Macaca mulatta: one gene and its partner. The protein of the gene in region 1 binds, or shares a complex with, the protein of each later gene. Links are inferred from orthologs where the notes say so. Each region holds a gene or a part of one and is shown on either strand. Other genes may lie near its edges. The genes, in order: BCL2L1 and BAD.

What was found.
Region 2: the proteins of BCL2L1 (region 1) and BAD are in contact, whole or in part, in a crystal structure (PDB 2BZW), measured with the Mus musculus proteins. The link is inferred for Macaca mulatta from reciprocal best matches to the Homo sapiens genes BCL2L1 and BAD. Residues at the interface, in NP_001276645.1 of Mus musculus: Ala93, Glu96, Phe97, Arg100, Tyr101, Arg103, Ala104, Phe105, Leu108, Gln111, Leu112, Gln121, Ser122, Gln125, Val126, Glu129, Leu130, Arg132, Asp133, Asn136, Trp137, Gly138, Arg139, Val141, Ala142, Phe146, Asp193, Leu194, Tyr195, Gly196; in NP_031548.1 of Mus musculus: Ala137, Leu141, Ala143, Ala144, Gln145, Tyr147, Gly148, Arg149, Leu151, Arg152, Met154, Ser155, Asp156, Glu157, Phe158, Glu159, Phe162, Lys163.

Annotation. Positions count from the first base shown.
Region 1 is NC_133415.1:84,488,908-84,492,709, forward strand, and holds part of BCL2L1 (bcl-2-like protein 1), read right to left. Parts: intron 366-3,802; coding exon 228-365; 3' UTR 1-227. UniProt on the Homo sapiens protein: Potent inhibitor of cell death. Inhibits activation of caspases. Appears to regulate cell death by blocking the voltage-dependent anion channel (VDAC) by binding to it and preventing the release of the caspase activator, CYC1, from the mitochondrial membrane.
Region 2 is NC_133419.1:10,113,491-10,117,931, forward strand, and holds the start of BAD (bcl2-associated agonist of cell death), read left to right. Parts: upstream 1-1,483; 5' UTR 1,484-1,541; intron 1,542-1,807; 5' UTR 1,808-1,815; coding exon 1,816-2,002; coding exon of another isoform or gene 2,003-2,006; intron 2,007-4,441. UniProt on the Homo sapiens protein: Promotes cell death. Successfully competes for the binding to Bcl-X(L), Bcl-2 and Bcl-W, thereby affecting the level of heterodimerization of these proteins with BAX. Can reverse the death repressor activity of Bcl-X(L), but not that of Bcl-2.

The DNA of each region.
Region 1 (3,802 bases):
GTGGAAATTTTATGAATTCTGAGGCCAAGGGAACTGAGGTGTGGGGGTCTCACAGAAGTGTGATAAATTCTAGAAAACTAACTGCAGGGGACCAGATCTGGGCCCAACCCTGTGGTGGGTAGGTGGGCATGGCCTGCATATAGTGGTTCTCCTGGTGGCAATGGCGGCTGGACGGAGGATGTGGTGGGGCAGAGGGTGGGAGGGTAGAGTGGATAGTCAGTGTCTGGTCATTTCCGACTGAAGAGTGAGCCCAGCAGAACCACGCCGGCCACAGTCATGCCCGTCAGGAACCAGCGGTTGAAGCGCTCCTGGCCCTTTCGGCTCTCGGCTGCTGCATTGTTCCCATAGAGTTCCACAAAAGTGTCCTGCAGGGAGAGAGAAGGAAGGCGCAGTTTGAATTCTCAGAGTAATGTAGGTGGGTGGGGAAAGGGGCCATGTGCATGCTATGGCCTTGGTGACATGAAAAACTGTAGCCATCCGTGCCCACTCTGGGCCAGGTAAAGGGCTAAGGGTGGTCCTCTTTCTTGACCCTCAGTTGGTGATAACCAAACCATGTTACTGCTCAGAAAACAGGTAGAGAGGAGGAAAGTGCCCTGAGGTCAGCAAGTAGCACTTTCTCCAGAATCCAAGGTGGGAACGAGATGGGCAGGGTCAGGGAACTGATGGAAGCCAGGTGACTGGAGCAGAGTGCAGGAGAAGAGGGCATGGGGGAGATGATGGTGCAGGGGTGAGCAGGAGCCAGACCATGTGTGGCCTGGAAGCCGCGAGGAGCCTGGAGTTGAGTCTGAGGGTAGTGTGGAGTGTGGAGACACTAGGCCTCAGACTTTCTACTGCTGCACCAGAGGGAGGGACAAGGAAGCCCAGGGCTAAATCCCCAGGGTGATTTGGGGCCAATTCAGGGGTAGACTGGGTCCTGGGACTTCAGCCAGAGGCTCCTCCCTCTGGAGGGAGTCTCTGGTGGGCAGGTTGGTGATGAGAAGAGCACGGCAGAGAAGAGAGGGTAACAATGACGCAGGACTGAGAGGCCTCCATGATGGGGTCTGTGAGGCCTTGTCCCTGTCCTCCACTGCAGGGAGTGTGACTCTGCGCCCAGGAGGTTGTGATCAACAGCCCTCTGCTCCGAATCTAAGTCAGAAGGGAAGCACATGATAGGGGGAAGGAGGAGCTGTGGGCTAAACTACCCAGCCCAGGGTGCAGCAGCCTGTGGGGCAGGGAGAGGGACACTTAGAACATACTTTTTTATGAGTAAGCATTGTACCCAATTTGTCCTTTAATCCTCCCAACAATTCTGCAATGCAGGCTGTCTCTCCCCATTTACAGGCCAAGAAGCTGTGCCCAAGGGCCAAGGACCCAAGGACTAGATCAAGGTCACCCATCTGTGTCAGTGGTGGAGCCAGAATCCAAAACTGGTGTCTGGCACCTAGAAATATGTAAGAAAGAAGTTCCAGGCTGGGTGTGGTGGCTCATGCCTATAATCCCAGCACTTTGGGAGGCTGAGGCGGGTGGATCGCCTGAGGTCAGGAGTTAAGACAAGTCTGGCCAACATGGTGAAACCCCGTCTCTACTAAAAATACAAAAATTAGCCAGGTGTGGTAGCACGCACCTGTAATCCCAGTTACTCAGGAGGCTAAGGCACGAGAATTGTTTGAACCTGGGAGGTGGAGGTTGCAGGGAGCAGAAATCATACCACTGCACTCCAGCCTGGGTGACAGAGACTCCGTCTCAACAATAACAACAACAAAAAAGTAAGTTCCGTGTGTGTGTGTGTGTGTGTGTGTGTGTAAAATGAATGAGTTACTGGCTGATTCTTGCCTCTCTACCAAGACCTCTGCCACACTGGGCCTACATTTCCAACCGGTCCCAAACAGGCGAGTGGCTGCTCCGTCAGGGCATGCCATCTCCAGTTGGCCTCAGGTCTCACCTACCAATTTGCTCACTTGTGACCCCTGCCTGGGCCCACTTCCAGTCTTGACAACCCCCTCAGTCTATGCTCCACACAGAGATTTCTAAAAACACAGGTCAGATCATAGCACACCTATGCTTGAAGCCCTCCAGCAGCTTTCTCCTGCACTTAGAAGGCCAGCATCATTATTTTTGTATACCTGGTACCTAGCAAAATGCCATATGCACTGAGGTGCTAACTTGACTGAAGGAATCCTCAACATTAAGCCAGTAGAGAGCAGTGACCCATGAATCTCAGCCCTCGCACAAGCACACTCCATTCAGTCACTCCAAGTTCTCAACCTTCCCAGGGCTTCCATCACACCTGAAACAAAGTCCCCACTCCTTACCCTGGTCAGCAAGGTCTAGTGGGATCTGGCTCTAACACTTTCTGGCCTCCTCCCCACCCCTGTCCCCGCACACTTCACTCCAGTCTCACTGGCCTCCTTGCTGTTCCTCCAATGTCTCCTGCCACAGGAGTCTGCTGTTCCCACTTGCCTGGAGCACCTGACCCCAGGTCAGCGCCTGCCTCACTCCATCATTTCACAACCATGACTCCCCTCAAATGTCACCTCCTAGGTGAGACCTTCCCTGACTGCCTTGTCTAAAACAGTATACCACCCCCATCTCTCTCTGCCTGTCCTCCCCTTACCTTCCTTGATTTTTCTTCTTAGTTGTTTCTTTTTTTCTTTTTTTAGACACAGTTTTTCTCTGTCCCCCAGGTTGGAGTGCAATGGCACAATCTGGGCTCATAGCAACCTCCGCTTCCCGGGTACAAGCGATTCTCCTGAGTAGCTGGGATTACAGGCATGTGCCACCATGCCCAGCTAATTTTTGTATTTTTAGTAGAGACAGGGTTTTGCCATATTGGCCAGGCTGGTCTTGAACTCCTGACCTCAAGCGATCCGCCCGCCTCGGCCTCCCAAAGCGCTAGGATTACAGGCGTGAGCCACCAAACATATCTGGCCTTTTTTTTTTTTTTTTTTTTTTTTTTGAGACGGAGTTTCGCTCTTGTTGCCCAGGCTGGAGTACAATGGTGCAGTCTCGGCTCACCACGACCTCCGCCTCCCAGGTTCAAGCAATTCTCCTGCCTCAGCTTCCAGAGTAGCTGGGATTACAGGCGCGCGCCACCACGCCCGGCTGATTTTGTATTTTTAGTAGAGACGGGGTTTCTCCACATTGGTCAGGCTGGTTTCAAACTCCCAACCTCAGGTGATCCGCTTGCCTCAGCCTCCCAAAGTGCTGGGATTACAGGCATAAGCCACCACGCATGGCTACCATTTTTTTTTCTTGTTTTTAAAAGATGTATCCAGATTGACTTTGAACTCCTGGACTCAAGCAATCTTCCTGCCTCAGCCTCCTGATTACAGGAACTACACTACACAGAATGACCACCGTGCCAGCTTTTCTTCTCGGCGCTTCATTTTCTTATTTTTAAATTTTTGTGACACGGTCTCGCTCTGTTACCCAGACTATAGCGGCACAATCATGGCTCACTGCAGTCTTGACCTCCTGGGCTCAAGCGATCCTCCTGCCTCAGCCTCCTGAATAGCTGCCACTATAGGCACACACCACCATGCCTGGCTAAATTTCTAAATTTTTTGTAGAGACAGGGTCTCACTTTGTTGCCTAGGCTGGTCTCAAACTCCTGGGCTCAAGGGATCCTTCTGCCTCAGCCTCCCAAGTGCTGGGATTACAGGTGTGAGCCACCATGCCTGGCCTCACCACCTCACCACTTTTTTACCCCCTTAAGCTGCACCCACTCCCAGCACTTTTCATGACTAGATTCTGTACTTTGTTTTTGTTGTGATGTGTCTTCCATACTAGATGTGTCTTTTTTTTTTAAGACAAAGTCTTGCTC
Region 2 (4,441 bases), on another chromosome or scaffold:
CTCGGTCGCTCGTGTCGTCCTGGCTGGAGGGGGAGAGCCAGCCGATGCCCGTCGGGTCAGGGCAGCGGCCGCTGCAGGGGGCGCCCAATGCCCCGCTCTCCCCCTCCCCAAGCTGGGGGAGGCTCTCCTCCAGTAATGCGGATGGGGAGGGCCTCTGCCTTCTGTCCTTGTAATTCTCGAAAGCTGCCCCCCGCCCCACCCCCCCCACCGCGTCCACTCTCCAGCCTCAAGGGGCGGGAGGAGGCGGATGCCAGGTCCTCAGGCCGCTGATGGGAGAGCCGGCTCAGGTCGTGGGGACCCGGGGCTCCGGCTCCCCGGCTCCCGCTGCTCCGCCCCCTCCTGCGCCTGCGCGGGCGCTGTTCGCTACGCAAATTGCGCAGGGGCCCGACCGGCTCCGCAGTCCAGCGCCGCACCCGGCGTGAAACCGTACGAGAATTGGCGCGAGCTGCGCCGCTGGCGGGCGCCCGGGGTTACGGGAGGCGGCTGGAGGGCGGCCGAATTGCGGGGGCCGTGCCGCATCCAGGGGGTCCCCGGGTGGGCTGTGCCTGGGCGGTCCGCCTTAACTTGTATGGGGGGCCGGCAATTCCCACGCTCCTCTCTCCTATACCCAAATCGGGGTCGTACCACCCAGCCGGGGGCGGCAACGGATTCCCGTCCCTCGGCCTCTGAAGAAAACTTCCGCCCATAGCCAAGATGGCCCCCGGGCCCCGCCCCCGGGCCTGAACCCGCGGAGCCCCGAATCCCCAGCGCGGGCCCGCCCCCCGCCCCGGCGCGCCCGCGGCCCTGCTCACCTGGCCGGCCGCCTGCCAGGCCTGAAGCCCCCACGGACCCTACGGTCCACCCTCACCGGGTCCCCGGCCCTCCTCCCGCGCCCGGGCAGCCATCCCAGCCAGGGAGGAGGTTCCTCTCCTTATCTCCAGTGCCCCCGAGGTGGCGCGGGAGGTGTCCCCCGAGGCGGGCGGCGCGAAGCTTCCACGCCTGGGAGGAGGAGCGGGGAGCGGGACTTTCCGACCGGGCACCCAGTCCAGGCGGAGCGGTAACAATAGCAACAATAATCGCATCCGACGGCTGAGCTTCAGTTGTGGCTGTGCCAAGCGCCTTCGCCCGCAGTAATCACTCCCTTCACAAAGTTTTCACTGGCTCCTGGGGGAGCTGTCACTATCCCCACTTCACTGGGGGGAAACTAAGGTCCAGAGGGGCTGAAGGACTTGTTGGCAGAAGTGGGTCTCCAGGTTCCAAATGGGGACCCCAGAGAATCCCTCTCCTGCTCCCACACACGTCCAAGGTGTGAGGCAGCGAGGATGTGAGCACCAGGGCTGCAGGAGGGAGAAAAAAGGCTGCGGGCGAGTAGCCGTAGGTCCGGCGGGGGGGCGGGGCCGGGCCGGGTTGACCCCGCCTCTGGACCTACCCGAGTGACGTTCCGAGAGGTGATTGGGCCAGGTCGCTGACAGTTCCCGTTGCCCAAGCAACTAGGGCCGGGAGCCCGGGGTGCAGGAGGGAGGCGGCAGGCCCGGGTCAGGGGCCTCGAGATCGGGCTTGGGGTGAGACCTGTGCGCCGTCACCACGGGCGGGGCGGGGCCTGGGTAGGGGCCTGGGTCCACCAGGGTTCTGAGGGGAGATTGAGGCCCTGAGCCGACAGCATCAGCTCCCTGCCAGGCCAGACCCAGCAGACAAATGAGGGCCCGGGAGGCCTGGCGGGCCTGGGGGCCCTAGGGTGGGAGAGGGAGCCAAGGGTACCTACCTCTGCCTTCCAGGGCCACCGTTGGCCCCAGCTGTGCCTTGACTACCTAACATCTTGTCCTCATAGCCCAGAGCATGTTCCAGATCCCAGAGTTTGAGCCTAGTGAGCAGGAAGACTCCAGCTCTGCAGAGAGGGGCCTGGGCCCCAGCCCCGCGGGGGACAGGCCCTCAGACTCCGGCAAGCATCATCGCCAGGCCCCAGGCCTCCTGTGGGACGCCAGTCACCAGCAGGAGCAGCCAACCAGCAGCAGCCATCATGGAGGTAAGTACCCCACCACCTCCACCTGCCGGGTCACCTCACCCCCAGCCCACTGGCTCCCTGCATCCCAGTTGTATCCACGGGCACTGAAGGCTTTGGGTCGGTCCCTAACCTCTCAGAGCCCCAGTTTCCTCTTTTGTAAAACAGAGCAATTAATAACCACCATTGTAGGACTGTTGAGTTAATTAGCAGGAACATATAGGATGCACTTGATTACAGAGCTGGTGCACATTAAAGCTAAAAAATGGTAGCTGCCAGGCATGACGGATCACACCTGTAATCCCAGCACTTTGGGAGGCCAAGGCAGGAGGATCGCTTGAGCCCAGAAGTTCAAAGCCAGCCTGGGTGACTTAGGGAGACTCCATCTCTTAAAATATGTATATATATATATGGCAGCTATTAGTGTGGGGCCAGGACAGAAATTAGTGACAGGCAGGCAGGCAGTGATCCGAAAAGGAAAAGGGGCCTACCTAAGGCCATACCTGCCTGGCATTTCTTTCCTTAGAAGGTGGGGGCTGGAAGACTCCTTGGTGCCCTGCCCCAGGCTACATGCTTTCCCTGGGATTGGGCCTTCCAGCTCCCAGATGTGTTCTTTCTTGCCCCGAGGCTTGCGCCCACAGCAGGCCTGTCCTGGCACAAAGGCCAGGGGCAGGTGACCTCAAGGGGCAGACGGTCCTCCCAGACAGCAGGGCTGTGTGGGGTGGGAAGCACAGGCTCCAAGATGGAAGGATAGACACTGGGGTTCAGTGTCCATTTCTCAGTAGGCTCCACCACCCCTGTGCCCAGCACTGGCCTTGGCACCTGGAACAACAACATATATCTTCTGAACACAAAAACCAGGTCAAGCCAGGTGGGGTGGCCCATGTCTGTAGTCCCAGCAGCTCAGGAGGCTGGCTTGAGCCCAGGAATTCAAGACCAACCTGGGCAACATAGCCAGACCCCATCTCTAAAAATAGAAAACTAGGTCATGTCACTCTGGCACTGAAGCTTAAACGACCTCCTTCCCATTTTCAGGATTAAGAAGGCTTAAGAGGCCTCCCCTCCCTCTCTTACGCACAAACACACACACTCAATTCTCTCAGATTGGATCCCATAGCTTGCTTTCTTTTTTTGTTGTTGTTGTTTTGTTTGTTTTGAGACAGGGTCTCGCTCTATCACCTAGGAGGGAGTACAGAGGTGTGGAGTACAGAGGTGTGACCTCAGCTCACTGCAGCCTAGAACTTCTGGGCTTAAGCGATCCTCCCACCTTACCCTCCCAAGTAACTGGGAATACAGGTGTGTGGACTACACCTAGTTAATTTATTTTTAACTTTTTCTTTTTTTTTTTTTTCTGAGACAGAGTCTCACTCTGCCACCCAGGCTGGAGTGCAGTGGTGCAATCTCAGCTCACTGCAACCTCCGCCTCCTGGGTTCCAGCAATTCTCCTGCCTCAGTCTTTCAGGTAGCTGGGACTACAGGCATGTGTCACCATGCCCGGCTAATTTTTTGTATTTTTAGTAGACATAGGGTTTCACCATGTTAGCCAGGGTGGTCTCTATCTCCTGACCTTGTGATCCGCCCGCCTCGGCCTCCCAAGGTGTTGGAATTACAGGCGTGAGCCACCACGCCCGACATTTTTCATGTTTTCATTAGAGACGAGGGCAGGGGCGGGTCTCCTTTTGTTGCCCAGGCAGGTCTCAAACTCCTGGGCTCAAACAATCCTCCTGCCTCAGCCTCCAGAACAGCTGGGACCACAGGTACATGCTGCCACACCAGCTCATTTTTTATTTTTTGTAGAGGTGGGGTCTTGCTTTGTTGCCCAGCCTGGTCTCGAATTCCTGGGCCCAAGCGATCCTCTCATCTTGGCCTCCCAGAGTGTTGGGATTACTGGCGTGAGCCACCATGCTCGGCCTCCACAGCTTTCTTTAACTTTCTGAGCTTGCACTTGGCTGTTTTTCTGCTCACAAACTCCCCCTGCTTTCTGCCCCCCGCCACACACACTCAGCATTGACTTGTGTCTCAGAGTGAGTGTTCACCATGTGACACAGGTTGTTCCAGTTGCTAGGGGGACCTCGGTGAACCCAAGCATCAGGAATCCTTGCCCTCGTGGAGCTTACGTTCTAGTGACGTGGTGGGTCCATAAGCAAACAAGCACAAAAGTGCATCCTATCATGGATGAGAAGATTTGTATGGGGGCAGCATGTAAGAGTTAAAAGAAGCTGGGCACGGAGGCTTACACCTGTAATTTCAACACTTTGGGAGGCTGAGGCAAGCGGATCACAAGGTCAAGACATGGAGACCAGCCTGGCCAACATGGTGAAACCCCATCTCTACTAAAAATACAAAAATTAGCCAAGCATGGTGGCATGCACCTATAGTCCCAGCTACTCAGGAGGCTGAGGCAGGAGAATCACTTGAACCCGGGAGGCGGAGGTTGCAGTGAGCCAAGATCACACCACTGCA